Lonchura striata: one gene and its partners. The protein of the gene in region 1 purifies or fractionates together with the protein of each later gene. This does not show direct contact. Links are inferred from orthologs where the notes say so. Each region holds a gene or a part of one and is shown in the gene's direction. Other genes may lie near its edges.

Evidence for each region.
Region 2: the proteins of RAN (region 1) and IPO9 purify together in Homo sapiens (affinity purification with mass spectrometry; 3 studies listed by BioGRID and IntAct, with this or other methods). This does not show direct contact. The link is inferred for Lonchura striata from reciprocal best matches to the Homo sapiens genes RAN and IPO9.
Region 3: the proteins of RAN (region 1) and NUP153 purify together in Homo sapiens (affinity purification with mass spectrometry; 5 studies listed by BioGRID and IntAct, counting the BioPlex papers as one, with this or other methods). This does not show direct contact. The link is inferred for Lonchura striata from reciprocal best matches to the Homo sapiens genes RAN and NUP153.
Region 4: the proteins of RAN (region 1) and AKIRIN2 purify together in Homo sapiens (affinity purification with mass spectrometry; 3 studies listed by BioGRID and IntAct, counting the BioPlex papers as one, with this or other methods). This does not show direct contact. The link is inferred for Lonchura striata from reciprocal best matches to the Homo sapiens genes RAN and AKIRIN2.

The regions. Positions count from the first base shown.
Region 1 is NC_134620.1:14,955,521-14,963,317, forward strand, and holds the start of RAN (GTP-binding nuclear protein Ran), read left to right. Parts: upstream 1-4,794; 5' UTR 4,795-4,916; intron 4,917-5,618; 5' UTR 5,619-5,624; coding exon 5,625-5,660; intron 5,661-6,501; coding exon 6,502-6,586; intron 6,587-6,679; coding exon 6,680-6,805; intron 6,806-7,753; coding exon 7,754-7,797. Other genes in the region: STX2 (syntaxin-2), read right to left, coding at 1,951-1,980. UniProt on the Homo sapiens protein: GTPase involved in nucleocytoplasmic transport, participating both to the import and the export from the nucleus of proteins and RNAs. Switches between a cytoplasmic GDP- and a nuclear GTP-bound state by nucleotide exchange and GTP hydrolysis.
Region 2 is NC_134632.1:386,240-394,174, reverse strand, and holds the start of IPO9 (importin-9), read left to right. Parts: upstream 1-4,921; 5' UTR 4,922-4,935; coding exon 4,936-5,086; intron 5,087-7,935. UniProt on the Homo sapiens protein: Nuclear transport receptor that mediates nuclear import of proteins, such as histones, proteasome and actin. Serves as receptor for nuclear localization signals (NLS) in cargo substrates.
Region 3 is NC_134603.1:90,606,374-90,613,382, reverse strand, and holds the start of NUP153 (nuclear pore complex protein Nup153), read left to right. Parts: upstream 1-3,995; 5' UTR 3,996-4,033; coding exon 4,034-4,132; intron 4,133-7,009. UniProt on the Homo sapiens protein: Component of the nuclear pore complex (NPC), a complex required for the trafficking across the nuclear envelope. Functions as a scaffolding element in the nuclear phase of the NPC essential for normal nucleocytoplasmic transport of proteins and mRNAs.
Region 4 is NC_134605.1:78,763,482-78,771,194, forward strand, and holds the start of AKIRIN2 (akirin-2), read left to right. Parts: upstream 1-4,703; 5' UTR 4,704-5,135; coding exon 5,136-5,340; intron 5,341-7,713. UniProt on the Homo sapiens protein: Molecular adapter that acts as a bridge between a variety of multiprotein complexes, and which is involved in embryonic development, immunity, myogenesis and brain development.

The DNA.
Region 1 (7,797 bases):
TACTTGCATTTCATGTTTAAATATTTTCTTCATTAGAAGAAAATTTTTAAGTTTCTAAGCTATTTATTAATTCTACAGGCAGTAAAAACAATATTGATGAACACATGAGCACTTCAGCAATACTGGCTGATACATATTTAAAAAGCAGCCCACTGCAATAATGTTTTCAGATGTCAAATACTAAAGCTGGCTTAAAAATGCCTCTGTTCAGCTGCATTAAACACTTTTAACCCTGTCAGTGGGGGGTGTGGCAGGGTGTGGAATCGGTTTCTTCCATTTACAGAAACAGAGAACAGGATTAAGTCTGCGGGTATAGAACTATAAAGCCAACTGGATCACCACTGGTTGCTTCCTCTGTCTGGTTGGTGTGCACCAGCACCGAAATCTGGCACGCGTTCCCACAGCCTGGACATGTTTAGAAACAGGGAAAGGAAATAACTGTGCCTGAAAGAAAGGACACTGGTTTGTTGGCACTGCTCCAAAACATCATTCCTGGTACAGAAACTGTAATTTAATAATCCTAAAACTTCTTCAATGCCTATTCATTCTTTCAGAGAGGAAGACAGAGAGACTGGTAATTCCATCACTAGAGACGGAGCTTCCAAAATGTATTTTATGATCCAGAAGACGAAAGAGCCCCAGAGCTGAATGCAGCCGCACACAGCCCAACTTCTACACATACACGGAGTGCTGGAACCGTCCCAGGAACTCCTGTGTGTTCTCCACTTCCATTTCTTTTCAGGAAAAAACCAAAAACAATCCCAAACCAAAAAATCTCAAGTATCCTTTTCTTTTACCCAAGCCGTATCCTGTTGCAGACAGACCGATGGTGCCTGTGCCCGGACTCTCCCTTCTTTCTCAGGATATTTCCAAGGCAGGAGTGCGGGGAAGGAAAAGCGCCCACAACCAGCGGCAGCACCATTTTGTAAACACGCGGAGAACGCGGCTGGCAGGCGCTTTCCTGCCGCGGCACGGCCGGGAGCGGACAGAGCCGCCCGCCGCCGCCCGGGGCGCGGCACGGCGCTACCGGGAGCTCCGGGCACGGCGTTACCGGGGGCTCCGGGCACGGCGTTACCGGGAGCTCCGGGCACGGCGTTACAGGGAGCTCCGGGCACGGCGCTACCGGGAGCTCCGGGCACGGCGTTACCGGGGGCTCCGGGCACGGCGTTACCGGGGAGCTCCGGGCACGGCGTTACCGGGGGCTCCGGGCACGGCGTTACCGGGGAGCTCCGGGCACGGCGTTACCGGGGGCTCCGGGCACGGCGTTACCGGGGGCTCCGGGCACGGCGTTACCGGGGGACTCCGGGCACGGCGCTACCGGGAGCTCCGGGCACGGCGCTACCGGGAGCTCCGGGCACGGCGTTACCGGGGGGCTCCGGGCACGGCGCTACCGGGGGCTCCGGGCACGGCGTTACCGGGGGCTCCGGGCACGGCGCTACCGGGGACTCCGGGCACGGCGTTACCGGGGGCTCCGGGCACGGCGCTACCGGGAGCTCCGGGCACGGCGCTACCGGGCAGTTCCGGGCAGCTCCGGGCACGGCGCTACCGGGAGCTCCGGGCACGGCGTTACCGGGAGCTCCGGGCACGGCGTTACCGGGCAGTTCCGGGCAGCTCCGGGCACGGCGCTACCGGGAGCTCCGGGCAGCTCCGGGCACGGCGCTACCGGGGGCTCCGGGCACGGCGCTACCGGGAGCTCCGGGCACGGCGTTACCGGGGAGCTCCGGGCACGGCGTTACCGGGCAGTTCCGGGCAGCTCCGGGCACGGCGTTACCCCGGCCACGGGAAGCGGAGCGCGGCGCGCTGGCGGCACCGCGGAGGGCGGCACCGCGCCCCGAGCCCCGGCGGTCCCGGGAGCCCCGGCGGTCCGAGGAGCCCCGGCGGCGGCGGGGCCCTCCCGGCGGTGCCCGTGCCCGCCCCGTCCCGCCCCGCCCGCTCCCGCCCGCCCCGCACCTCCGCCAGGTCGGCCAGCCGGTCCTTCATCCCCGCGGCGCCGCTGCCCGCCGCGCTCCGCGCTGCTCCCGCGGGCCGCCCGCCGACCGACCCACCGACGGACCGACCGACAGACCGACCGGGCCGCCCGCCGACCGACAGACCGACCGCGCACGCTCGGCCCGGCCCGCCGCCCCGCCCGGCGCCGGCGTGACGTGGGGCGCGGCGGGCGGGAGCGGGGAGCGGGCACGGAGGAACGGGGAACTCAGAGCGGGGAACGGGCACGGAGGAACGGGGAACACAGAGCGGGGAGCGGGCACGGGGAGCGGGCACGGAGGAACGGCACAGAGAGCGGGGAGCGGGAACGGGAACGGAGAAACGGGGAACTCAGAGCGGGGAACGGGCACGGAGGAACGGGGAACCCAGACCGGGGAGCGGGCACGGAGGAACGGGGAACCCAGACCGGGGAGCGGGCACGGAGGAACGGGGAACTCAGAGCGGGGAGCGGGCACGGGGAGCGGGCACGGAGGAACGGGGAACTCAGAGCGGGGAACGGGCACGGAGGAACGGGGAACTCAGAGCGGGGAGCGGGCACGGAGGAACGGGGAACACAGAGCGGGGAGCGGGCACGGAGGAACGGGGAACACAGAGCGGGGAGCGGGCACGGAGGAACGGGGAACACAGAGCGGGGAGCGGGCACGGAGGAACGGGAACGGAGAGTGGGGAATGGGCACGGCAGGCAGTCCGGCCCCGCGGAGCGGGCACGGCGGAACGGGCACGATGGAACGGGCACAGCGGGCGGGCGGTGAGACACGGATGGTGCGGCACGGCCCGTGTGGCAAGGGCTTTACCAGGATAGCATTGTGCTGAGAAAAATAAAAGATGAATTGCATATTCTGAAAAAATAATCCTGACACCTAGAGGCGTTCAGCAAAAATGCAAAAAAACCCCACACAAACCCAACTCATCTCAAAAAGGGAAGGCAAATTGAGTGATTTTCCCAAGGAAATCTCACACAGCGTTTGGATTGGCATTACACTGTCAAATAAGCAAAAATTACAGCACAGGCCAGCCAGTCTTGTAAAGCTTTGTGTATTTTTTGTGTCTATGTCAGAGGAAGTTAACAAGAAATAAACTACATTTATATATATCAGCTGCCATGAAATACTTTCCTTGTCAATTCCATTCATTGAGATATATGTAAAAACGTATCATTTATTTATTCTAGATTATGGGGATAGCAACAAAGAAGATAAAAGTAATTGAAGTATACTGGATTAAAAAAATACCAGAGGCATTAAAAATCAGAGCAAACCCGTGAACTTGGTACCTATAGACACATGCAAAAGTTTTACACTCTTTGAAACTCAGTGTTTTCACTGACGTTTGGGCAGAGTTTTGAGATCTTGGAGAGCTATTCTAAATGCAAGGCTTCCAAAGCAAGTTTTGCTTTCAGGACTGCACAGCAGTGAGTGCAGGTCAGTTTGTGTGAAGGATGGAAAATCACGGGCGTTCCGGCCAGCCTGCCTCACGGGGCTGTGCCCGCTGTTGTGCCCGCTGTGCCCGGTGCTGTGCCTGCTCTGTCCGGTGCCATGTCCAGTGCCGTACCTACTGTGCCCGGTGCCGTGCCCGGTGCTGTGCCTGTGGTCGTGCCTGGTGCTGTGCCCGCTGTGTCCGGTGCCATGTCCGGTGTGGCCGGTGCCGTGCTCAGGGCTGTGCCCAGTGTACCCAGTGCCATACCCGCTCTCCCCGGTGCCATACCCTCTGTCCCCGGTGCCACACCCGCTCTCCCCGGCGCCATACCCGCTCTCCCCGGTGCTATACCCGCTCTCCCCGGTGCCATACCCTCTGTCCCCGGTGCCATACCCGCTCTCCCCGGTGCCATACCCTCTGTACCCGGTGCCATACCCTCTGTACCCGGTGCCATACCCGCTGTCCCCGGTGCCATACCCGCTCTCCCCAGTGCCATACCCTCTGTACCCGGTGCCATACCCTCTGTCCCCGGTGCCATACCCGCTCTCCCCGGTGCCATACCCGCTGTACCCGGTGCCATACCCTCTGTCCCCGGTGCCATACCCGCTCTCCCCGGTGCCATACCCGCTGTACCCGGTGCCATACCCTCTGTCCCCGGTGCCATACCCGCTCTCCCCGGTGCCATACCCGCTGTCCCCGGTGCCATACCCTCTGTACCCGGTGCCATACCCTCTGTCCCCGGTGCCATACCCGCTCTCCCCGGTGCTATACCCGCTCTCCCCGGTGCCATACCCTCTGTCCCCGCTGCCATACCCTCTGTCCCCGGTGCCATACCCTCTGTACCCGGTGCTATACCCGCTCTCCCCGGTGCCATACCCGCTCTCCCCGGTGCCATACCCGCTCTCCCCGGTGCCATACCCGCTGTACCCGGTGCCATACCCGCTCTCCCCGGTGCCATACCCACTGTGCCCGGTGCCATACCCGCTCTCCCCGGTGCCATACCCTCTGTCCCCGGTGCCATACCCGCTGTCCCCGGTGCCATACCCGCTGTACCCGGTGCCATACCCGCTCTCCCCGGTGCCATACCCGCTCTCCCCGGTGCCATACCCTCTGTCCCCGGTGCCGTACCCTCTGTACCCGGTCCCATACCCGCTGTGCCCGGTGCCATACCCGCTGTCCCCGGTGCCATACCCGCTGTCCCCGGTGCCATACCCTCTGTACCCGGTGCCATACCCGCTGTCCCCGGTGCCATACCCTCTGTCCCCGGTGCCATACCCGCTCTCCCCAGTGCCATACCCGCTGTCCCCGGTGCCATACCCGCTCTCCCCGGTGCCATACCCGCTCTCCCCGGTGCCCTGCCCCGCCTCCCGCCGCCTCCCGCGCGCCGCGCACCACGTGACGCGCGGCGCCGCCCCGCCCGCGGCCGCGCGCCGCCGCCGTCCGGGTATTTGAACGGCGCTTCCGCCATTTTCCCTGCGCCCGCACGGAGCGAGCAGCGGAGAGTCTCGGCAGAGGTACGGGCCCGGCCCGGCCCCCCGGCCCGGCCCGGCTCCCGCCGCCATCGGGGCGCGCCCGGCCGCTCTGCAGAGCGGGGGCGGCGGTCGGGCTCGTTGGCGGCCGGGCCGGGCGGGCCGTGCCTGAGGGAGCGTCGCGGCCGCGGGGCCCGGGCGCGTGGCGGCTTTTCCCCGCGAGCGGGGCCGCCGGGCCGCGGCCGTGCGCGGGGAGGGGGCGGTGCGAGGGCCGCCGGCGGGGCCCCCGCGGCCCGCCCGGCCGGGGCAGGGGCGCTGCTCTGTCATGGTGGCTGACGGCGGGCAGGCCCGGCCGCGGCGGCAGCGCCGCAGGGCGGGCGGCGGCTCCCGAGCGGCGGCGGGCTGCCGGCTCGGGGGGATGCCGGCTCGGGGGCGATGCCGGCTCGGGGGCGATGCCGGCTCGGGGGGGATGCCGGCTCGGGGGGGGTGCCGGCTCGGGGGCGATGCCGGCTCGGGGGGATGCCGGCTCGGGGGGCTCGGCGCAGTCGGGAGCGGGGCCGGGGGGCCGGGAGCGGGTCGGGAGCGGGGCCGGGGGGCCCGGCGCGGGTCGGGAGCGGGGCCGGGGCCCGGCGGGCGGCGGCGCGCCGCCATTCCGCCGCACGCGGGCGGCGCCTTCCGGCGGGGCCGCTGCCGCGCCGCGCTCGCCCGCTCACGCTGCCATTGCTCACGCTGCCATTTCCCCCGCAGAGCAGCATGGCCGCCCAGGGAGAGCCGCAAGTGCAGTTTAAGGTAAGCCGCGCTGCCCCGCTTTCCTTCGGGGCTTTTTCTCCCTTCGCTAGAAAAGTGACACAAACCACTCTCGAGTGCCTACGTGGATGGTGGGTTTGGTTTTGAACTGCTGGTCTTCCCTTAATGGGGCGATTTATTGAAGTGTTGAATACAACTCGCACAAAAAGACTCTATTAAACTATTTTCTAAATTCTTTTTTGTGTCATTATTTTATCTGTAATTCAGTCTGATAGCTTTCAATGAATCTTTACCTACAGAATGATTTTTAAATTTAAGAACTGAAGCTGCCCAGAGTGAATTAGAGTAGCTTGCTTTCTGTCATGTGCTAATGGTGCAAGTGTTTCAGAAGGGAATTTTCTGGTGTTTTGAGTGGCTGGTGGGGTGGTGGTTATCTTTTTGTTACCTTAACAGCCAGAAGTCCTGAAGACTCTTTCTTGAAGGTTGTTACTTGTGTTTCTTTCAGTTCTTGACTAGTGTGTTTCAGTTTATGGTGCAAATGTTGGTGGGTTCTTTAATTTTAAGGTAGCAAAGGTTTTCTCCAGTGGATGTTTTGATAATTTCCTCTTGGAATCTGGTTACAGTCAGGTTGAAAGCCCTAAATATTCTGCAGTGCAGCCCTTGCCTACAAGGGCTGGATAAGACTGATCAGAGTTACAGCATGATGGGTGGACTTAACAGATTTGGTTCCCAGCACAGGGAGCTGCTTCATGGGGAGTTCTGTCTTTGTTTACAGCACCTTGTAGGAGCTGTGCTCTTTGTAGTAATGAGTAGTATCTGTGCTGGAATGACTGATAAGTGTCTCAAGATGCATTGCTCTGACTCTTCCTTTTTCTGTCCTCAGCTTGTTCTGGTTGGTGATGGTGGCACTGGTAAAACAACATTTGTAAAGCGTCACTTGACTGGTGAATTTGAAAAGAAGTATGTAGGTATGTCTGAAGAAACATTTGAGCTCCAGTATCTTACAAATGAAAATACAATCTGTGACTTGCTAAATGCACTGCTTTTTGTTATTTCCCTAGCAACACTGGGTGTTGAAGTTCATCCTCTGGTGTTCCATACTAACAGAGGCCCTATTAAATTTAACGTATGGGACACAGCTGGCCAGGAGAAGTTTGGTGGCCTGCGTGATGGCTACTATATCCAAGGTAAGATCTGGGGGGACAGTTCTGTACCTCTTACAGCTCAGTCCTTCCTTCTGCTCATGCTGGCTGCGCTGCAAGCTGTCAGTGTGGCTGCAGTGATGAGCTGGCGTAGAACTCAAGCTCTTACGTGGAGAGAATAATGTCCCTTGCCAGACAACGTGGGAACACAGTAAGGTTGTGTTTCAGCGTGTTTTGTGGGCTTTGGTATTGATGGAATGACCAATAGCACTGGCAGCACTCGGTGGTTAAGGGGTGACAACGTGTGCTTCAGTAAGTGCAGATTTCTGTCTGGATTGCTGTGCTCAGGCAAGGCCTTGGAACACAGAAACTTGAGATTTTCAATACCATGATGCAGTTGGACACCTTCATGCCAGAGTCTGTCTTTCTGAAAATGTGCAGTGTTCTTTCTGCTTGGCAAATACCTGTCCCCTGCTTCTTCACTCACCCTGCACATCTTTAGTGTATCTTACTTTCGTAAAGTATTCTTGAGGTCCTTGAGAAGCCCTTCTGGACACGGGTATCCTGAGATGTGGACCACAGGCTCTCAGCCTACCTTTAAGCCTTATTGGCATGTCTGAGATGAATTAAACCAGTTCTGAGATGAATTAAACTGATTCTGCCAGGCATTTGGGTACATCCACACTGGCTTCCATAGTCTGTATAGTCTCATGGTGCAATGCCACGTTGCTCAGGGATAGAGCTGAGCTAGCAAGAGGAGCTGCTCTGCTATGGGGCAGCACAGGTGTGAGGTGATAGGGCCCTGGGCTGGTTCTGTGGGCTCCTGCACAGAGCTGGTTAACAGAACAGCAGCTGCCACAGCGGTGATGCCGAGAGGGAAGAGTTCATGCAGATGCTTCACCCTGATGTGGGAATCTCTGTGTTCCTCTTCTCCATCCCTTGTTGTAAGCAAGTGGCTGTGCCTGGTGTAACCTGACTTTCCTTCTCTTGCAGCTCAGTGTGCCATCATCATGTTTGATGTAACATCGAGAGTTACT
Region 2 (7,935 bases), on another chromosome or scaffold:
AGGAACAATTTTTTGTCTTTTATGACAAAAAGAAAAGCCCATGTGATCATGTGATAGACTGCCAGGTCCAAAATTCCACTTGCTTAGAGGAAGGATTGCTACAAGGTGGTTGAAAAGAAATAGTGATTGTACCCTAAATTCAGAGGTGCAGCTTCACAAAGGCTCCTTAGGCATCTCAGTTTTTAAAGTTCTGAAAAACTGCTTACAGTAGTGTTTTAAAGGAATTTAGCTGTTTGTTTAATCATAATACTGGGCCAGATTTTATGTATATATGTGTATATATTTATGTGTGCTTGTTCCTTGAAATCTCTAAGAGCTGGGCTTTTAAACATGCAAAAGTAAAACCAGCAGCCCCTGTCTAAAGCACATGGAATTCACTTGAAAAGTCTCTCCATCATCCAGGCTTTATTGAAGTTAAAACCAATATTGGAGAGTGTGGGTCAAGTGTTTGGGCTGCTTTGGTGTCTGTTGGGATTTTGGCTTTTCATGTTTTTGTTACTGTCTGGAGTTGAATTTTAAGGAGGGGACAGGCTGGGCTAGCACCATCTAACCCAGGCTGATCCTTTCCCTGCTCCATGTGCTGCCCTGCCATTTCTTGGGGTTTTTTGCTGGTTCCAGTAGTCCCATGCCACTTCCTGTGGGGTCTTCCTTGGCGTGGGTCTGCGGGGGGAGCTCAGAGCTGTGCTTTGAGCTGAAACAGCAAAGGCAGAAACAGGGAGTTCATCCTAAAATACCTTTGCATACCAAGAATGTCTTTTTGTGGTGAGGAACCTGTCCTCCTAAAAGTCAGAAGAAGGGGTGACAGAGCTGGGGTTGGGCTTGGAGGCAGAAGTATTTGACCAGCAAGCTCTGAGTGCTGACTTTGCATGAGGGATCCCTGCAGAAACCTGTGAAGAGCCTGTGCTCCCAAACAGGTGGGAATTTTCCTGGAAAAGCCTGGAAGATTCAAATAAATGGAGTTTCTACAAATCCAGAAGAATGGGTCGGTGCATTCAGAGTGGTTATGCATCACTTCAGCTAAAAGGAGCTCAGGCTAGACTGGCATTGCTCTGGGATACCCCTCCTCTCCCTAAACCTCATCCTCTTTTTTTGCAGTGTGTTTGTAAGGCAGAGGAAACTTGCAATTGTGATCATTTTGTCCCTTCCTAACAGATACTTGCAGAGACGTGTCAGGTCTGATGCTGGTGCTGAGAGCCAGTGATAGCCTGGTGTGATGGAATCAGAGAATCACAGACTCAACAGGGTTGGAAGAGCCCCCCAAGACCATGGAGTCCAACAGTCACCCAAGCTCTGCCGTGTTCACCACTAACCTGTGTCCCCAAGTGCCACATCCACACGTCTTTTGAACGCTCCCAGGGGTGGTGACTCCACCACTGCTCTGGGCAGCTGTGCCATGGCCTGACCACCCTACTGGGAAGAAATTTTCCCTCATATCCAACCTGAACCTCCTCTGGAACAGCTCGAGGCTGCTGCTTCTTGCCGTATCCCTTGTTTCCTGGGAGAAGAGATCTGGACCTCCTGCCTCACTGATTTTGGTGTAGCAGCAGCTCACGTTTCCTATTAAGTTGAAATCCTGGGACAGTGCAGAAATGCGTGATGATCCTGAGCTTGCAGAAGTTACACATAAAAATAGGTATTTATTCCTCTAGCAGAAGCAGCATTTTGGATTGGGAAGAACAAGAGAGAAAAATCACATTTCCTCTTGCAGAGACCTCTCTGGGGCCAGCAATGACAGAGGAATGGCAGGAGCTCCCTGGTTGTGCCACTCAGGGCAGGGCCCAGTCTGGGTTGAGCAGCATGGCTGAAATGTGCCCTTCTTTTGCTACAGAAGTCCCAGCCTGTCGTGGTTGTGCCCATTCCTCTGGTTGGGAGTGGCCTCTCTGTGCAGTCTGTGCTCTGCCAGGAAGAGCAGGGCTTGACTGGGGTATGGGCAGTGCTGGGCATGACCTGAGCCCCTGCTCCTGTTTATTTGGGGGGAAAGATGGGGTCCACCAGCCCAACTTCTGCAGAAGGAAATCTAACTTCATTCTTGGGAAGTTTATGTAAGTGGAATTGGTTGCTTTCACCACAGCTGCCCAGGCTGTGGCTCAGGTGAGCACGAGGAGCTTCCAGAGGCACTTTGTCCCCTCTGCTCTCTTTGCTGATGTGAAGCTGCCCTTGCAGCAGCTGCCCAGGCCTGGAGACCAGGCAGGGAGAGTGAGGAGGGGGCTCCAGAGGGGCTGGTGTGGGCAGGTGTGTTCTGCCCTGCAGGTTCTGGTGCTGATCCAGCCCATCTGCTGGCACAGGGGAAGGGCTGGAGCTGTGGGGCTGCAGGATGGGGGGCAGCAGGACACTCACTGAGCCTGCAGGGAGCTGAACCCAGGCTTGGGTTTGTGTACCATCTCAAGTTGCTCCTTCTGCTTTTACAGAAAGTCTTCAATTCAGGTTGCAAAAGTTACATGTGTGGAATTGCAGAATCCCAAACTGGCAGAGGTTGGACGGGACCTCAAAGCCCATCTTGTTCCACCCCAGGCTTTTGGAAGGGACACCTTCCATTATTCCAGGTGGCCCCAAGCCCTGTCCAGCCTGGCCTTGGACATTTGTTATTAGAGAGTACAAGAAGAAAAATAAACCCCAAATACTGCTGCTGCCAGGTGCTCACTTGATAAACTCCAGAGCTTTCAAACAGGAGGTGGTGTGGGCAAGGAGAGCCATCCCTCACCATGGACTGGAATGTTGGTGGGCTCTCAGTGCAAAGAGGTGACCCCCCAGGATGGAGGTGGTCTAAGGGCAGAAGTGCAGCAGCTTGAACAGAGTGGGTGATTAAACATTGCGAGGGGATTGTGTTGGAGTCCCTGTGCCTGGAGGTGTCCAAGGGATGACTGGACACGGCACTCAGTGCTCTGGGCTGCTGACAAGGATGATCCTGGAGGGCTTTTCCAATCGGAGTGATTCTGTGATTCTCTGAACATGGCTGCCAGGCTCATCCCTGGCACTGGACTGTGTCTGTAGACAAATCACTGTCATACTTCTGGGCACTTAGTGACCAAATCATTACTGGATACAGAAAATGTCACAGTATTTTTCCTACAGTGTATGGGAACTGCTATCCCCATCCCAAAACACAACTCCATCACCACCCCCAGGTAAGAAGCCCATTTTGTATGGATCAATACTGCTTTTTAATCCTTGTAATGCTTTGTAAAATTACTTATACTTTCTAAATAAACAGCTGCAAAAACCACAGGTGGGCTCCTCAAGGCTCACACCGAGTGTTCACCACACCTATGTGTAGGAAAAGAAGTGGGGGTTTTCCTCCCTGTGACTGGTCCCTGCTCTGGGGTTCACTGGACTCTCTGGGGGCTCCAGGTGCTCCACAGGACCCTGGTCACTGCCTCAGTCCCCTGCTCCCACTGTGGCATCCCAGTCTTACAGGGGAAGGAGCACCCAAGATCCCTAGACACTCCTGGTGGAAAAGGAAAAAAGTCACAGGGTCCACAAAAAGTCAAAGATTTATTAGTAAATCACACACTTGTCATAGAAATTGTTCTGTTAATCCCTGATCTACTCTATAAGCTCATGGCAGTGGGGTTTGGATAGGGGGGTGGGAGGAATGGGAAGAGAGAGAGGAGAGAAAGGAGAGAATTAAAGAGAGGGAGAGAAAGAGAGAAATCACTCAATCAATCACTCAATCACTCACTCAATCAATCAATCAGCAGTCCTGGCTCCAGCACATTGACCCTGCTGTCCGGTCCGGCCCACGGGGTGTCCAGGTCGTGCCTGGGGGTTACATTTTCTGGGCAGGTTTCCCCAGCCTGACCCAGGTCCGTCGCTTTCCACGCCGTGAGTTCTCCTGCCCAGTCCCTTCGTTCGGGCCCTCCTGGAGCTGGGTCGGAGCCTTTGAGGGCGCTGATCGCGCCCAGCCCCGCTCGGCCCCGGCCCTGCGCGGGGCCACGCTGGGCTCTGCTGACCCCCAGGACCCGCAAGCAGGAGGTTGGTGCAGAGGAGCACGGCCCGTCCCGCCAGGCTCCGGCATTCCCATCCCGTCCCATTCCCAGCCCGTCCCATTCCCATCCCGTCCCATTCCCAGCCCGTCCCATTCCCATCCCGTCCCGCCGTTCTCCGGCATTCCCATCCCGTCCCATTCCCAGCCCGTCCCATTCCCATCTGTCCCATTCCCAGCCCGTCCCATTCCCATCCCGTCCCATTCCCATTCCCAGCCTGTCCCATTCCCATCCCGTCCCATTCCCATCTGTCCCATTCCCAGCCCATCCCATTCCCATCCCGTCCCATTCCCATTCCCATCCCGTCCCATTCCCATCTGTCCCATTCCCAGCCCGTCCCATTCCCATCCCGTCCCATTCCCATCTGTCCCATTCCCATTCCCAGCCCGTCCCATTCCCATCCCGTCCCATTCCCATTCCTATCCCGCCCCATTCCCATCCCGTCCCATTCCCATCCCGTCCCATTTCCATCTGTCCCACTCCCATCTGTCCCATTCCCATCCCATTCCATTCCCATCCGTCCCATTCCCATCTGTCCCACTCCCATCTGTCCCATTCCCATCCCATTCCATTCCCATCTGTCCCATTCCCATCCCGTCCCATTCCCATCCCATTCCATTCCCATCTGTCCCATTCCCATCTGTCCCATTCCCATCCCGTCCCATTCCCATCTGTCCCATTCTCATCTGTCCCATTCCCATCTGTCCCATTCCCATTCCATTCCATCCCATTCCCATCCGTCCCATTCCCATCTGTCCCACTCCCATCTGTCCCATTCTCATCCCATTCCATTCCCATCTGTCCCATTCTCATCCCATTCCATTCCCATCCCGTCCGAGCCGCTCCCTGCCCGGCGTGGCGCGGTCCGCCGCGCCGCCAGGGGGCGCGGTGCGCGGCGCGGGCGCGCCCCCGCGCGGTGCGTTTGGCGCGCGCGGCGCGCGGAGGGGCGGCGATGGCGGGAGGCGGCGGCGGGCCCGGGGCCGGGCCGGTGGCGCAGGGGCTGAAGGAGGCGCTGGTGGAGACGCTGACGGGGATCCTGTGCCCGGTGCAGGCCGTGCGAGCCGCTGCTGAGGAGCAGGTGAAGGTGCTGGAGGTGACGGAGGGTGAGTGAGGGCCGCGCTGAGGGGATGGGGGGACCCCAGGCCGCCGCCACAGCGGTTCCCGGTTCTTCGCCTCACGACTGCTCCTTGGCCTCGGCAGAAACTTCAGCCTCGTCTCTCGAGCCGGCGGCTGTGGCTGATTTCCTGCCGGCTGCCCTGTGTGCCCGACGTCTCTCACGGAATCACAGAATATTTGGGGCTGAAAGGGACCTTTGGAGATCGTTCGGGCCCAGGCAGGGTCACCTGGAGCAGGTGACACAGGGACACGTCCCGGTGGGTTTGGAATGTCTGCAGACAGCGACCTCCCTGGGGAGATGTTCCAGCGCTCTGCCTCCCTGAACGTAAAGTTCTTCCTCATGTTGAGGTGGAACTTCTTGTGGTTTAGTTTATGGCCATTGCTCCTTGTCCTGTCGCTGGGAACTGCTGAGAAGAGTCTGGCACCAGCCTCTTGGCTCCCGCCGTGGAGGTGCTTGTATGGATTGCTGAGATTTCCCTCTCAGTCTTCTCTAGACTAAACAAGCCCAGCTCCCACAGTCTCCACTCACCAGAGAGATGCTGCAGACCCCTCATCACCATCCACAGAGACCCGCTGCAGACCCCTCATCACCATCCACACAGACCCGCTGCAGACCCCTCATCACCATCCACAGAGACCCGCTCCAGACCCCTCATCACCATCCACACAGACCCGCTCCAGACCCCTCATCACCATCCACACAGACCCGCTCCAGACCCCTCATCACCATCCACACAGACCCGCTCCAGACCCCTCATCACCATCCACACAGACCCGCTGCAGACCCCTCATCACCATCCACACAGACCCGCTGCAGACCCCTCATCACCATCCACACAGACCCGCTGCAGTAGCTGCTTGTCTCTCTCCGAGGCAGCCCCTGCAGGGCTCGGTGCCAGAGGGACGGGCTGGCCCCTGCCTGCAGCGGGGCGTGTTTGGGGCACTGCTCTGGGCAGGGGGCAGGAGGGCTCTGCCCGTGCTCTGGGGTGGTGTGTGAGAACTGGGCACCAAGGAGCGCTCTGAGCTCACCAGGGTAGGACGTGGAGGGGCCATGGTGGTGAAGCAGCAGGGCTGTTGCTCTGGGTACCTTGGTCCACCTCAGCTGGAGTCTGAGGGTGGGTTACATGAGGGTCATGGAGAGCCCTTCCATCTGTAGACCCTGGCCAGCTCCTGCAGGGATCTTCACCTCCAGATGTGTGTCCTGGTGTGTGCCCATGTTCTGCAGGTTGTCATCTGTGCACGGTGTGTTTGAGGTTGAGGGTGGCCAGGATGTAGTTGTGCCCTCATCCCGTGTGAAACTCCAGTGACAAGGCTCCACTGTCTGTGATGGAAAGCTGAGGACAAGCAGGACAGTGGAGCTGGATGGCAACTAGCCTGTGGCTTTGGAAAGAGATTCTAAATGAGTGAACACCCCAGGTTCAAGCAGTGTTGCTAATCATTCCATTAGTCCTTTGGCCTTTTCATGGTGACACTAGGTTAGTTCATGCACTGGCTGCTTTTTCTGTGTAGAAGATACATTTAAAAATCTGTTAATGCTAACATTTTATTTTGCTTCAGCCAAAATCACTGGAGTTTGTAGAAGCCACAGAAAGATTTGCAGATGATCTGCTGTGACAGGAGCTGGAGAGTGTAGCACTGCAACCCCAGTCCTGACATTTTGCTTGTGGCCTGGCAGCTTGATGGGTTAGCTATTTGTAGACTCTCCTGGAAATTTTGCCTTAACCTTTAGTCTGATTGCACTATTCTGAATGTGTTTTGTGAACTCTTTCTGCTCCTGAACTTCAGCTCAGAAGTGTTACCAGAGGCAGTTTTGGTACAAAGAGGGAAGGTGCAAGGGTGAGACAGGGTCAAGAGCGGTGTTGTGATTTTGCTGCTCTGGGAGTGAAGTCAGGCAGTTGTTTGATAAAATCTTTGTTCTTGTGCATTCCCTTAAAGTGCTTGTACCACACTCAGCTTAGCTCTTCCTGGCATTACCAGGAATTCTGTGTCACCCCCACAGCTCTTGGAGTTTCGTGGAGTGGTTCAATGGCATTGCAGGCAGCACAAGTCTGGAAGTGCTGGGAGGTTCATTGACTGTGGAGCCTTGGCCTTCACTGCCTACTTCAGTGGCAGCTTCTCCCCAAAGAGTCAACCTTTTCACAGACTCGGTGACAGATTTCCAGAGAAGAATGTTTTCTGAGGGTTCTAGGCAATGGATATCCCTGAGGTACCTTTGAGAGCCCAGGATTGCAGAATTGCTTTTAGTGGATGTTATGGTAAGAGGAATGGAGTCATCTACCCTTCTATTTTGCCATGCTTTTACAAATCTGCTGAAGTCCTCGATAATTCTCTGTGGTTGTAGGGCCAGGACTCTGAGGTCTGGTGCAGCATCTGACCTGGAGGAGGCTGCAGAACCTACACAAGCAGCTTGCAGGTGACACCAAACTGGAGGGGAGGCAGTTGATGTCTGAAGGCAGGGCTGCTCTCCAAAGGGCCCTACAGGAACAGAGCCAGAGGAATTCAGCAAGGACAGACAGCACGTTCTGCTCCTGGGACAGGACTGCTGGGATGTGGGTCAGGTACTGCCTGGCTGGGGAGCAGCCTTGGGACAAAGGGCCAGGAAATACCAGTGCCTGGTGAGCTGGCAGGGCCAGCGGCGTGCCCTGGAGGCCACCTGCGTGCCGGGCTGTGGGAGCAGGATCAGAGGCAGTGATCAGCCCTCTCTAGTCAGCGCTCATTAGACCACACCTGGAATACCTGGGCAGTTTTGCTCCCACCCCCCTGGGATGAGACACAGCAGCAAAGGGGAGTGAGTTCAGCAGAGGGTCATGGGCTGGCCTGGGGGATTGCAGCACAT
Region 3 (7,009 bases), on another chromosome or scaffold:
GATGCAGGCCCCTTGAATTTTGATGTGAGGATGTTAAACTTTCAAAATCATGCTGGATTTGCTGTCACTTTAGTTGCAGTGTACAGTTGGGGTGCTTGAGCTTGGTAGTACAAACCAGTTGCTAGGCAAAGGATTTTGTATCCAACAAGCACTGTCATCACAAGCTGGAAGATTATAACCCAGGCACAGACCTGGAAGTGTCCTGCTTTGAAGTGCATATCCTGCTTTGCATAGCGTTACCTAACATCATACTTTACCTGTAGCAAGTAATTTGTGGAAACCTTTCATTGTGTTATTAGATAGTAAGGGTGCATGTTGGCTTGGTAGAAATACTATAGAGTATCCACTGATTTTTTTTTTTTTTTTTTTTTTTTGTTAGCTTTTGGGAGTTTGATCCATATGTGAATTATATAACAAGGAGCCCATGTAGTTGTGTGATTTCACTTTAATCAGCACTGTATTACCACAGCACATAAACATCAGAGTCTGTAGTCACAATATTTATGCAGAGTTTACATCTTAGCAAGGTCTCCACACTCTGCATTATAGACTATTTTCAGACATGCATCTTCTGTTCTGGGCTGTAAAGTACCTGTATAGTGAAAATACTGCTTATGAAATGTAGTGAAGGAGGTTGTTTGAGCCATTAATTGTGCAAACCTGAGAAATGTTGGGGAATGTATTTTCTTTAGTCAGCACAGAAGAAAAGTGAGTTGAAGAAGGGAAGTCTGCTGGTTGCAGCCTGTGTGAGGCTGTTTTAAATAGCTCTCTGATTTTGTTTTCTGTCTCCTGAGCCTTTCTAGTCTATACTGCTTACCAGTTAGGAGTGCATATCAAGATACTGTGTGCAGCATATTCTTTACTGTAAATGCACACCGAAAAAACTTTGGTATTGGTGTAAGCATGAATTAGGGAAAAAGTGAATGCATCAGATCTGCTGGCATTCATTGCTGAGACTTTTAACTGGGGAAACTTTAAGCACTGGTCCAGCTACTGCCTCACTTAGCAAGCCTACACAAAGACCTGAACATGTCCATGATACAGATGCCTGCTCTCAGTTCTGCAAAGAGCTAATTGCAGTAGAAACATTTAAAAAAAAGTATTGGGACCAATGTTTTCAACACTACACTATTTCACTTTGTTTCTTTTTTTTGTCTGTTTTGCCCAGCTGGAAAGTTGTGGAGTTTTTTAAGTCTGATGAAAGGGTTTTTTTTAAGAATATCAAGTATTGGTTTTATAAACTCTTCATTGTACCTAGCTGTGATAGATAGTGCCTTTACCTAAAACCCACTTAATTCTTGAAGAAGAGTAATGTTTTTGTTTTCTACTATTCTGAACAGAAAAGCTTTAGTACCATGGTTTGAGGGGCTAATGATCCTGTAGTCAGTGAACAGGGAGGAAAAAACAGGCTAAAAACCAGTGAAGACTGAAAAGTGTTCAAAAAGGTTAAATGGTACTTAAGCCGTGAATGTTTCTTTTTGCAGGGATGCTCTTGGACCAACAGCTTCTTTCTAGCACTACCTCAAAGTAACTTGCAGATATAACTCACAGGGAAGATTGATCAAATGGTGATGATCACTATCGTTCTGCTGGAGATATATATATATATATATATATGCCTTTTGTTTTGTCTCATTTTAATGACATTTATTTAACTTCAGTGACTCATGTCAATAGACATTGACTACATCAACAAGTATTTCTGAGTCATGAGTTTCTTTAAAGGTATGTCACCATATGGAAATTGTTCTAAATAGGTAAAATAAGTAAATAAAGCAGCACTTGAATTTATAGAGCAAATGTCTAGTGTAGCTGCATTTGACATGTATATGGAAGAGAAAATCGTGTTTACAGCTTACCTTAATATTCTTAGCATACATGAAGAGGGAAGCTCGTTTTAAATTTGTTCAGCTCCTACCTGACCAGCACAAGAATGATTTTAGTCAGTTCCCCACGCAGGTACCATTTTAGAAGCCAGCATTGTTACTAATGAATGTATGTTACCAACGTGCAGTTTCCATCCCCTCTGTAAATCTCGCTCTTCCCATAATGGAAACACATTATGCTAGCCTTCCTTCCCCTTCTCTTAAGCTGAAAGCTAGCATGGTAATTGGTTCCTGGACAAAAAGAATTGCAAATCCAGGCAAAAATACTATTTTTTTCCTATTTTGATAATTATACTGATGTAGATCTAGAAATGCCCATTGTAGAAGCAGACCATCATCCTAAAATTAGTCAGCAGCTGTAGCACATCAGCCGTTTACGCAAAATGAGGTGGTTCTTGCAGGTGACTTCAAACAGGCATGTTCCAGGATAGGGATCGTCTATCACTGCAGGTCATCCCCCTGCATGTAAAACTGTATTCTTAATTGTGAGAGTAAGAGTGTAGTTTTATGAGGAGAAATATCTGGAAAATAATTCCACTATGCTAGGTATTGGATAATAGTTATTTCCTATAGTTAATGAAAATGGGACAGAGAAATTGAGCCAAGTCATGTAAGAGAGCTAGGAGGACCCCAGTGAAGTTCAAAAAAAACCAGTATGAAGCAGAGATGAGGCAACACAAAATTTCCTAGTACCATTTCTTACAGCTGTTCCTCTGCAGCTGCTGCCAGCTTACCTTTCTGTATGCCTTCAGAATCACCCTTGTTTGAGCTCCCCATAATTTCCAAAACCTTTCTTCAGGTGCGTGCTGGTTTGCACTGCTCAGCTCCATCCTTCCCACGGCAAGTTGATGCTAAAAATAAAGAGTGAAACCATAGTGTTTTCTCAACTTTACTTTCAGTAAGATAAAAATCCCACATTTTTATGTATTTAAACTTTGTAATAGGAATGCACTCTTCCTCATATTTTGAGGAAGTAAAAGCCACGGCGAAGCCTTTTCCCCTACCTCCTTTCCATAGGCCACCACTTAGTGATGAAAAACCTGCACCTGCTGTTTTCTCTTGCTTACACAAACTCGATCGCTAGTGGCAATCTGGGGGAGCACTGTGGGCTTCCCCGTGCAGTTTTTCCTGGTGCCGTTTTTCCTGGTGCCGTTTTTCCTGCTTCATTGTCCATGCTGTTCTTCGTCAGGGACAAGGGAAACATCCCCCTCACGCGTGGGTAAGTTGTGTACCTGGGGGCAGATCGTCAGAAGGACAGAGGCAGGCTCTGCTCGGTGGTGCCAGTCTCCCTTCACTGAAGAAAGTCAGGAACTGTCTGGATGCAATCCTGTGCCATGTGCTTTGGGACGACACTGCTTGAGCGGGAAGGTTGGATCAGATGACTCACTGTGCTCTTTTTCAACCTGAGTCATTCTGTGAAACGCTGCGGGAAGAGGGGAGGTGGCGGCGGAGTCACCCGCGGCGGGACCCCGGCACGAACCTCCGCTCGTGTCCCCTCAAGGCGTCCCTGTGCTGCGCCCGCGAGCAGGCACGTCCCCCGCCACGTCCTTGGCGGTCGCGGCAGATCCCAGCGAGCGCTTTTCCCGCGCAGCCGGCCCGGCCCGGCCCGGCCCCTCCCGCTTCCCTCGCAGCGGGGGCGGTGCGCGTGCGCGTGCGCGGCCGGGCCGTCGGTCCGGCGCCGCTTGTGTGACGCGCCCGCGCGGGCTGGTGACGCGCGCGCGGCCCGGGGCGGCCGCCGTGTGGTTGGTCGGCAGGGCAGGGGGGTGCGGCGGCGGCTCGGGCCGCGGGCGGGCGGACAGCGCGCGGGGCGCCGCCGCCGGGCGGGAGAGCGGAGCTGGGAGCGGCGGGCGCAGGGATCGGGAGGGAACGCGGGGAAAGGGGAGACGCGCGGGAGGGAGAGGCGCGCGAGAGCGCGCGCGCGCGCGGGTAGGGGCGGGGCGGAGGCCGCGGAGGAGCCCCCCGCGCACGCACCAGAGGCCGCGCGCGGCGCGTGGCGGGCGGGAGCGGCGCGGGGGGAGCGAGGCCCGGCCGGGCGCGTCCCCGCGGGGACGGTGACAGCGGCAGCGCTGCCGGGCCGCGGCGGAGCGCAGCGGCCGCACCTGGGCGAGGAGGACGAGGCCGCCGGCGGCGGCGGGCCGGATCGCATCATGGCCTCGGGTGGCGGCGGCGGCGGCGGCGGCAAGATCCGGACCCGACGGCACCACCTGGGAGCCGCCAAGCCGCCCTACGCGAGGGGCAAGCAGCAGGTGAGGCGGCGGGTCAGCCCCGTGAACCCCTTCCCTTCCCACCCCGCTTCTCCCCCGGCGCTCCCGTCCGCGGCGGCAGGAGGCGCCCCGGAGGCCCGACCCGGCAGAGCCGCCCCTTTGCTCCGCCGCCCTCCCCCCCGCTCTCCACGCAGCCCCACGTGCGCGGCTTCGGGCCGGGGTTTCCCGGTGGAGCGGCCCGTGGGGAGGCAGGAGGGAAGCGTTTCCCGCCGGGACCATGGGCATTGTGGGATTTCCGGGCGCTCGCCCCGCTCCGGCGCCGCCGGGCTGCGGGGGGATTCTCGCCTCCCCTTTGTCTTCTGCGTGTCCCCCGCTAGGCAGGAGCAAAGGCGGGAGGAGGAGGAGGCGGCTGGGCAGGCGTAGGTGCGCATTCCCGCTCCTCGCGGTTGGAGCGGGCTGGCTCCCGCTCCACGGGATGCTCGCTCGTTTTGTCTCTGGGCTGCCCGGTTAAATCCTAATTTAATTGATCTTAACTGGATTATCAAGTTAGAGTTAGTCTTCAGATTTAAGTGCATCGTTTCTAATATTTGCTTTTCCTGACAAATTCCAGGTTGCGAATGAGGCTGTGAGGGTGCTGGGTAGTTGGGCATCTCTTCCATTGTGGTTTCTTTTTCTCTCTCTTTTTTTTTTTTAATAGGATGCTGCCTACAGAACCCTTAGGTTTTTTTTTTTAGTGTCTTGCCTGTCCCTAAACGTGGTGGTGCAGTGCAAGCACAATGTAATTCATGAGGCATTTGTTCTTCTTTGTGTTGTGGGACAGAATAGATGGATAACAGAAAAAAAGCAGTTTGTAAATTGTGTTACAAAGATCCTATGCCATTTAGAATGGCTGCAGAGAGTAGAAGCAAAGATCCTTCCTAACTCCTGTTTGTCAGAGAATTTCAAGATGCCTGGAGATGGTGCTCTGGAAATGCCTTTCACGTGTATTTGTGAACCTGAAATTGACTGTAAAACCAAGCGTTATTAAATCGGTAATATAAGCCAGGAGATTAAATATTATAGGCAAAATTGAGGGCATGTTATGCATAAATTGTTGCTCAATTAGTTCTTATTTGGGAAGTACGATTCTTAATCCTTTGTATAACACTGATCAGCAGTGTTGTCCTTGTAAAGTGGGCAGGGTGACTCTTCATCCAAAGAATCACTGCACTTGCTGAGCAAATGTTGAAAGCTCTTACGTGAACAACAGTAATGTTGAAATTTCAATATGCTGCACATGGTGATACTGTGTAGATAACTAATAAAACAGATGAATTAAAAATAATTAGGTGAGATGATTTTCTGATTGTTCTATTGTCTGTTACCTCTGCGGGTTTTCTAGTAGGTTTATTTAAACAATGGGGCAAAGCAAACATGTGCCTGGGGGGATATCTGTGAGATGCAGCCCAGAGCATGGATGCTGCAAGTTGAATACATCAATCAAATTAACTAGTATATTGGGGAAGAAATGGTAAATAGTCAAACAGATAGGTGTCAGATGTGCATTTGTCATAAGTTATGGCTTTTTAACCCTATGTAGCTTGCTAACCTGCGTTACATAAAAAGATGAGCTCTGGGTAGATAGCTGACTTGAACTGGAATTAATTGATAATTTTATTTTCAATAAAACATCCACTCTGCAGAAAGTATTCTGTGGTTTGGTGTTGTCTCTCAGTAATGAGTTTGAGAAGACATAGAAGTGCTCAGTGCAGACTGGACATGATCTCCTGCTCCCCTAACTTATCAATAAGGGAGCTCATAGAAGTACTGTATTAGAACTGTTCTAAGTGCTTTAGATCAAGACTGCAGTCTCTTATCACCAAGCTCTGAAGGTGCCTAAGCACTGAATGCCATATTGCTAAAATCTTTACAGTTCTTAGGATATCTGATTCTTTTCCACTTGTATGATAGATGAGTAGTAGCATGATGCCAGGCTTATAACAGGCCTGTTGTATGTTTTTCTTAAGTTGTTATGCTTTCTTGATGTTGTTGTTTTGCCATAGTCTCCCAGGGAGCTTGGTCACATGTGAATTCTCCAGTGGTCCCTAGCATGTTGCAGTCAGTCTTCCATTAAGTGCAGCAATGGCTTTAGAAGATATTTGGAAGAGGAGATGATGCTGCTTTTCAAAGATGATTAGCTAAAGCATTTGTTCAAAATGTGGTAGACCCTGTTTTAGATTTTTTTTTTTTTTTTTTTTTTTTTTTTACTTAGAGGCATCAACCTACATCTTCCACTTTCTGGGCAAATATCCCAGTTGCCAAGCTGTATGCTGTCTTTGAGTTCTTCTGACTGAAACTGTGTTATTATCCAGAAAAAGAATGTGTGATTCATTGAGCCAGGAAGAGGATGTATAAGAAGATGTTACCTTCCAAGAGTGGAGACATACAGCCTGTGATCCATGATTTCAGAAGTTATTTGTTTTATATATTCTTGGAATAAACATGGAAAGTGCAGAATTTCCTGCCCTTTTCTCCCCAGGTGCCTGATAGAGCCATATTGCGTTATATTTGCATGTGTTTTTGTTTTTTTTAAACTGTGGAGGTTTTTTTTGAATCAATCTCAGATAGGAGAGATGAACAGATGCTGCTTGGAGGATGTGACTTGCAGCTTTTATTTTCTCTTGGAAGATGGAGCTATGAGTAGATTTCCCCCAGTAGTGAAGGAACTTAACCACAGTATTTTCCTTTCTGGGCTACCATCCTGCCTTATAAAAAATGCACTGTCAGTGGTTGTATTATTAAACCAAGAGACAAAAAGTAATAGCACAATGAGGTAAGGACAGTATCCACTAACCATGAAGATTTGAGGTGGGGGAATCACAGAACAAAAAGAGCCTTTTTGTATCTCTTTGGTGGGTGTTCCTGGAGTAGAATTGTGGA
Region 4 (7,713 bases), on another chromosome or scaffold:
TCCATGCATGCTTTGCTAGTTGATGCTTTCCTGAAATCTTTGAGGTAATTGCAGTAGTCAGAGCTGCAAAATTTTATTCAGTGCTTCCTAATTATTCTATATCCAGGTCTGTTAGCACAATTCATGCATATACACCAGTGAGTTTAGTAATTTTCTTTTTATAGCTTCAATATATTATTCTGAATATAGGTGAACTGACTCAAATGGGTTATTCCTGCTTCATATCCTTTCAAGTTGTCACATTTTAACTCCAGCCAGGAACTAAGAGCACCACACAGCCACTCCCCTGGTGGGATGGGGGAGAATTGAAAAGGTAAAAGTGAGAAAACTTATAAGAGTTTTCTGAGATAAAGACACTTTAATAGGGAAAGCAAAAGCTGTGCATGCAAGCAATGCAAAGCAGGAAGTCATTCACCGCTTTCCGTGGGCAGGCAGGTGTTCAGACATCCCCAGGAAAGCAGAGCCCCATCACACCCAACAGTGACTTGGAAATTCAAATAGCACAACTATGAATTTCTAGCCCCCCCCCACTTCTTCCCCAGCTTTATATGCATATGATGCCATATGATGTGCAATGCCCCTTTCACCAGTTGGGGTCAGCTGTCCTGGCTGTGTCCTCTCCCAGCCTCCTCATTGGTGGGATAAGAAGCAGAAAAGACCTTGATGCTATGTGAGCACTGCCCAGCAAAAATGAAAATATCCTGTACTATCAACACTGTTTTGGTCAAAAATCCAAAACTTATCCCACATCAGCTACTGAAAAGAAAATCAATTCCATCCCAGCCAAAACCAGCACACCTGTAAAATGTTTCATTCTGCATCGACTTTGTTGTTGTCATTTTATATTACAAAACTTCCTGGGTCATTCTTAGCAGTCTCATGTCACTGAAAACATCAATACCACAGAAACCCTTTTTGTAAAAATACTAAGCCTTACCTAAAGCACACCTAACCAGCAACTAAAGATTGGGGTTTACTTTTACCCATACTTCTGCCACTGGAACAGTGTTCTGGAAACTCATTCCTCTGGCACTAATAAATCCTCCTCTTATTTCCAGTCTGGGTGAGGTAACTGACAGTTCCTGTATCAACATAGTTTTCATCACTAAAATAGATCTCCTGAATTTATTTTTTCCTTGTGCTTTTAGTGAAAAATAATAGAATTCAACAATTAGTACAGATAATAACATTTAAATAACCACACTTTACTACCCTGGGGCTAATTTCCCCCTTTTATATTATTCTAATTGGCTCAGTTATCTTTTCCTATACAGATTCTGGTTTTAATTAATCTTTTCTGAATATGTGGAAATATATACAGTATTTTAGAGGAAATAGGTGTTTTGAATCTCTTTTATATTGGGAAATATACCTCTGTACTTCTGTTGGCAATACATTAGTAGCTCAGACCTAAGAAAGAAATTTGTCCTATTGGAAGTGAGTGCATATTACAGGTTCAGGTCATTATTTTTGGTACAGTTTATGAGCATAAGTCAGCATCTAAAGAAGCAGAGCTGAACTTCACTGACCTCTGCCTTTCATTCCTGTTCCCATGTATCCTTTCCCTTTGGCCAGCACTGTCTGTGTTCCTATATAGCAAATCAGACTGAGAAATTTATTCCAGTTTTCTTTCAGCTGTTTTTCCCACCTTACAATTCCTGTACTAACCTCCATTTTTTTCAATTTAACTAATCCCTTCTCACTTGGCACTATACAAACACTTCACTGACATAATGGCAGATAACCACCAGTGCATTTTGTCCACAAAATCTGCAACCACAGGATGTGCCTAATACATAAGAAGCTTTTGGTATCCATGTCCAAATTCAAGTGGCATGACACCACTTAAAGTGAATTTTGTTCACTTGTGGTGAAATGAACAAACCCTAGAAACTGTTCAGCCAATCGGTGGTCCCATGTTGGCAAGCATGACTGGTAATGAGAAATGAGCCACAGGTGAAGTGAGAATAATATGATTAGATGGTGTAGAAGAAAAGATAGGGCCAGTGATCCTGCATCAAATGAATAGGATGTCTCAAGAAAAAGGAATATGAAGCAAAGTCAAGATAGTATAGAAACAGAATGAGAGGAAGACGAAAAAAAAAAAAAAAAAGGAAGAAAAAGAAAAATGGAGCAATGGAAGGAAGGGGAGGAAGAAGAAAAGAGACTGTACAAAGCCTAATATTTGGTCCACTATATTTCTATCACCATCCCAAAGCAATCCACTGAAAGGGTTACTTTCCCACCTCAATCAGAGCTGTACAGAGGTCCAAATATTGTCCTGAGTCAGGACTTGCCTTTTTAACAGGTGTCATGCTCAAAGTACATATTCAATAAAATCCAGAACAACACCAGTTATGAATCAGTTCTCCCACTCCCAGTATTAATAAAATTTGTGGGTACTATTTATTTTAAAAATATTTTTATAATATATAATTTTAAAGGCACCCCATGCAGCACATAATGGGGCACTGCAAATTGGTTATATAATAAGTAAGTAGAAGAAAGAACAATATAAACAGTGGTTTGCAGCCTTGACCCTATGGTGTTTCCTGCCACAATGAAAGTAAAAACACATGTTCCCTGACAACCATCAAGCACTTTGTCACTGCTGTTGGACATTTCACTGCCTTAGGGCTTGTCTACATGCAAAGCTATGTTGGTTTGTCTGGGTTTAATTTGCTGCAAAGGGCTATGTGAATTCTTATTTTGACCTAAATCAGACTTGCTTCAGTTTAGTTCAACAAATTAAAGGTCAGATAAAAGCCAAATAACTCCGTTGATTAGAACAATCACTGTTCTAATCAATTGCTTACAATTATAGTGCTGCCTGTGCTGGCAAAAGCTGATTTTCTAGTACCTTATCTTGATGAAGTTTCACCTGATTCCTCAGACTGTCTTAATTGACTTAAATTGTGCCTGAGTGGTCCTTAGGAACTAGTGCATACATGGTTAATGTCACCAAATTTTTGCTTCTGCTGCTGAATGCAGAATATATATCTAAAAATAATTTCAGTGGGGAAGTACAGGTTACTCTGAAACATAACATTTTTTTTTTTCCACTACCACACCCACACACAGGCACTTCTCAGCACACAAATGATGGCAGAAGCAAGGCACAGAGCACTCCAAACTAAACAGGTACATCATACACACACTGAGAGACACTTGGGGCTCCCTTAATTCAAAGCCTGCAATAGCAATTTTGCCTTAGTCTTGCTTGGTTAAGTGCTTGGTAAGAGTATTTAACACCGGTGCCCAAACACAGGGAAAGCTATATGCTTAGGGAAATGTAATGGAGATTAAGAATTAAATTAATGGAAAACCTGCCAGCATTATTCCAAAGAAGAGTATCCACAGAAGTAGTTATACCAGTACACTAATAGTAGGACAATTGTAATACTGTAATAACATCAGGACGTTTCCTGAATCTTGCTGCAAAGAAGCAGAACTTGTCTTAGTTTTAGAAAAGCTTGTCACCATCCTTATTTCAAAGGAAACACTTCAAGTACTTCCTCTTTGGAGGAACAACTCACAGCAGAGGATTCATTCTGCAATTTTCAAGTATTAATTTTAGGACAAGGCTTGCACCAACATTGTCATAAGCTATCTGTCTCAGAAAACAAATAATTTGTTGAGAAGGAAGGCTCTGCTAGGTCACCCCATCAGCTGAAACCTCAGCTACCCCAAGAGCAGCACAACCACAGTGCCAGCACAATCAGATTGTGACTGGGTGCCGCTATGGCTTAATTAACAATATATGCCAAACACCAAACATGTACAGCAAATCCTGCTTCCAAAGGATGGTAAGGTCTGTGGGGATTTTTTATGCTATTAGAGAAAGTCTAGCTTACACTTCAGAACACAATCAAAAAACACCAAAGTGTTAAAACTTTATGACAGCATATTTATAATTTTGTCTTTCAAAGACAACATGTCTTCATGTTTATGGTTAAATTAACAATATTAGATAATTATTATAAAACCTAAAAGTTACATGTATTTGGGGGGGTTATCAGTCTCTGTTAACTTTCCCACTGCGGTGACCTGTAACACAGTTTGTTTCAATCAGGAAGCTGCACAGGAAAGAGCTGTACTCTTCCCAGCAGCAGCTTCATAGTTCTTTGAACCTCTCCCCTCACAACCCTCCTTAAGCAAGAATGTGCTTTATGCAACTGCAAGGAAACCACTGGGTTACGCCGTGACACAGATCCCGACGTCGTGAGGCCTTTCCATGCGTGTCCTTAGCTGTCACCTCGGACTCCCGCACCCTCCCTGCTCTACCCTCACCATGGAGGCCACTAAACGCACTTTGCCCCCGATTTCACGTTCAGACAAGAGCCACGCGGACGTACATCCGCCGCCCGGCCCGCTCGACACCTGCGCTGTCAGGAGGCAGGGCAGGACAGGAGCATCGCCCCTTTTGTGTCCCCAGGTTCCGAGGGGCCCTGCCGGCCCTTCCCGAGATCCCACCGCGTCCCCATCCACACCCCAGCCCGCACCCTCCCAGGGGGGATTTAAACCAGAACCCGGAAGCCTACCCTGCCGGCGCGGTGCACGCCGGGAGCTGTAGTCCCAGCTCCCCAGAGTCCATCCTGTCTTTGAGTGGCGTGGGCCAGGACGGGAAAACCACGAGTCCCGTGAGCCTCTGCGGCGAGGGGGGTTGGCGTTTGAACCGGCGGCGTTGTTGTTGACGCCATATTGCTGGTGCGGGGGTTACGGCCGGGAGCGCCATCGCCGCCGCCATCGCCGCCGCCTGGGCCCTGCCATCGCCATCGCGCCGCATCGGCCTCCCCGCACCGCGCACCTGGGAGCGGCACCGCGTCCCTCGGCACTCCTCGTGTCCCGCCACCGGCCGCGGGCGGAATTTGTCCCGGCCGGGCAGGGCGGAGCGGGCGAGGAGAGCGGAGATCCAGCCGGACTGAACCGGGGTTGCTGCTGCCGCTGCCGGGGCGCTCCCTAGAGAGAGGCCGGCGGGGAGGCGGTGGAGGCGGCCCTGACGCAGCCGCCCCCTCCTTTCCCTTCCCTCCCCCCCAGCCCACTCCAGACAACGGGGAGGACGCCTCTGGGCAGGGCCGGCTGCTGCTGTCTCCACCGCTGCCCCTCGCTCCGAGCCCCCTTGGCCGCTCCGCGCCATGGCTTGCGGCGCCACTTTGAAAAGGACTCTGGATTTCGACCCGCTGCTGAGCCCGGCGTCACCGAAGCGAAGGCGATGTGCGCCATTGTCAGCCCCGGCCTCAGCCGCCTCCTCCTCCTTCGCCGCCGCTGCCTCCTCCCCGCAGAAATACCTGCGCATGGAGCCCTCGCCCTTCGGAGAGGTGTCGTCCCGGCTCACCACAGGTGAGGGACGCGGCGCTCCCCCCGGGGGCAGCTCGGCGGGGAGGGGGCCGGGAAGGCGGCCGGGAAGCGGGCAGGAGGAAGAGGGGGTTGGGTGGGTCTGGCGTCCCCCTCCAGCCATTTTCTGCCGGGCTGTGCGGCTGGCAGCGGCCGGGGCGATCCCTGCTCGGCTTGGCACCGAGAGACACAATAGAAATGGCCGTTTGCAGCAGGAGAGGAGGGGGGAGGAGGAGGAGGGACGGGGAGGAAGAAGGGGGGCCGGGTTGAGCCGATGCGGGCGGGTGGCCATAGGAAAGGGGTCGGTGAAGGCGGGGGGGTGAGATGAGGCTGGAGAAAGGGACCCGAGCGGCGTGGGGGATGGGAGTGCTGCTGGGGGGAAGCTCGATCTTAGGAAAGGAGGAGGCCGGTTTTTTTTTTTTTTGGTTTTTTTTTTTTTTTTCCTCCTCGTACCACGGGTGCTTAGATATGGCAAGGAGAGCCGCAGGGGCGAGTGGAGCTGCGGAAACGCTGGGGGCGGCAGGGGAGCGGGGTGCGACCGAGGTGGGGCTGGGGTCGGCAGTCGGCGGGGCCCGATCGATCCCTTCCTCGCAGCCATTATCGGTGGGTCGAGGCGGCCGCACCTCCTCCCGCTGCTCAGACATCGGGGGAGGGCGAGGGGGGCAGGGCGGGGAGGCCGGCCTGTCATCCATCACCCGCAGAACGCCAGTGGAAAAAGGCAAAAGCGAATAAAACAAAGGGGTAATCCCACTTCCCAGCTCCTTAATACGGGCTATCGTCCCGGGTAACCCATCCTGTGGTATCCTTAAAAGTTCCGTAGGAAAACCGAGCGTTAAAAGCGGTTGTGTGCAAGGGTGAGAGTTGCCTTTAGGGCAGATAAAATGGAATCGGGCGGTCTCCTGCTCTCGTTCGGGATACGCGGCGCAAGAACGAAACCCTTTTACATTCTTAAGGTGCGAGAGATGAGTCAACCGGCCGCCCCAAAAGCTCGAGGTCTGCTTGTGTACTGGTTGTCAAAAATCAACCGAGTTCTTTTTAGCAGCGAATAGGGAGAGAAGAAAGGGACGAATCTTGGTCGGGCACAAAAGATTGATTGGCCCGTGCCATGCTTAGTCCGGTGGGCAGCTTCCAGCAATGCACTCGGGGACGGTGCGGCTCGCGGCCATGAGCGGCTGTAGCGCCGAGGTATGGATGTACCCGTGTCCTTTGTGTGCAGGGGGAAAAAAAAGCCCTCTGCAGTTGTTGCAGCAGAATTCCTTCCGCTGTTCTGTTTGGTACTCCCTTTTATAACACAAGTTGGCTCCAGGGTACCAAGCACTAAGTTTGAATGTTCAAATTGCCGTTTACACGTAGGACAATGCCTTGTTTCAATATTCTTAGTTCGGAAAATGGTACCGTAGAATACACTTTTTTAGAGCTTTTAATTAAATAGTGAAAAATTGCTATGGAGGAAATATAGAGGGCATACAGAGTAAACTTGGCATCAATGCCTTGATATTTTTTTGAACCTCTAGGAAAGGATCTTGAATGAGTCAGCGGTCTGGGATGAGAGTTGTGATGGATGGCACTCCCTGCTACAGCGAGGCATTGCATGTACTTTGAAATAGATATTTAAAATCAGACCTAATTTAATTCTTTTAGAGGATAAGATTCTTTGCATGGTTTCTTTGGGGTTTGGAGAGCTTAGGTTATGAATATTTAATACAAGTATTGTCTGGCCAGTAAATATGTGTTGTTGAAAGGAGGCAAATCAGTAAAATTTTCAGAAGAGACAACCTACAGCAGTATTTGAGGTAATACCTAAGCTTCTACTCTAGCCATTCTGAAGGGCTTAAAAACTGAAATTGAGCAAATATAGGCCTCTTTGTCTCCTGAGAAAATCAGAGGTGCAGGTGGTAATCCATGTGAAAAGGTGATTTGTGTACAGACAAGGGTGTATTTTATGTATAAAAAATGTGTGTAATATAATGAAAAGTGAGACAGTAAATCAAAATGTCTCGTACAGCGCTTGAATACTCTTAAGCAAGACGTGAAGCATTTATAAGTTGTGCACGTTTACATGGGTTTTGCTTACAAGCTCCCTCTGTGGTTTCCGTTACAGAAAAAAAAAAAATCTTTATACCGTGCTGGTATAAATGCATCTGTTAATCAGCTTGCTTAGCTTTAAATTTCAGTTGAATTTGGGGATACTATAATATTGTATATATTTAATTTTGACCCTCACTGAGCAAAATAGAGCTCATAATTTTAGAGAGGCCTGTTGAAAGGTTGTGTGTGATTCATCTAATTTTGTAAATTTACCTGTGAACTAATAGTTTGCATTTTTCCTGGTAGCCCCTTGGAAGAATCATATGGTTTATTCTAGAGCTCTGTCTTAGG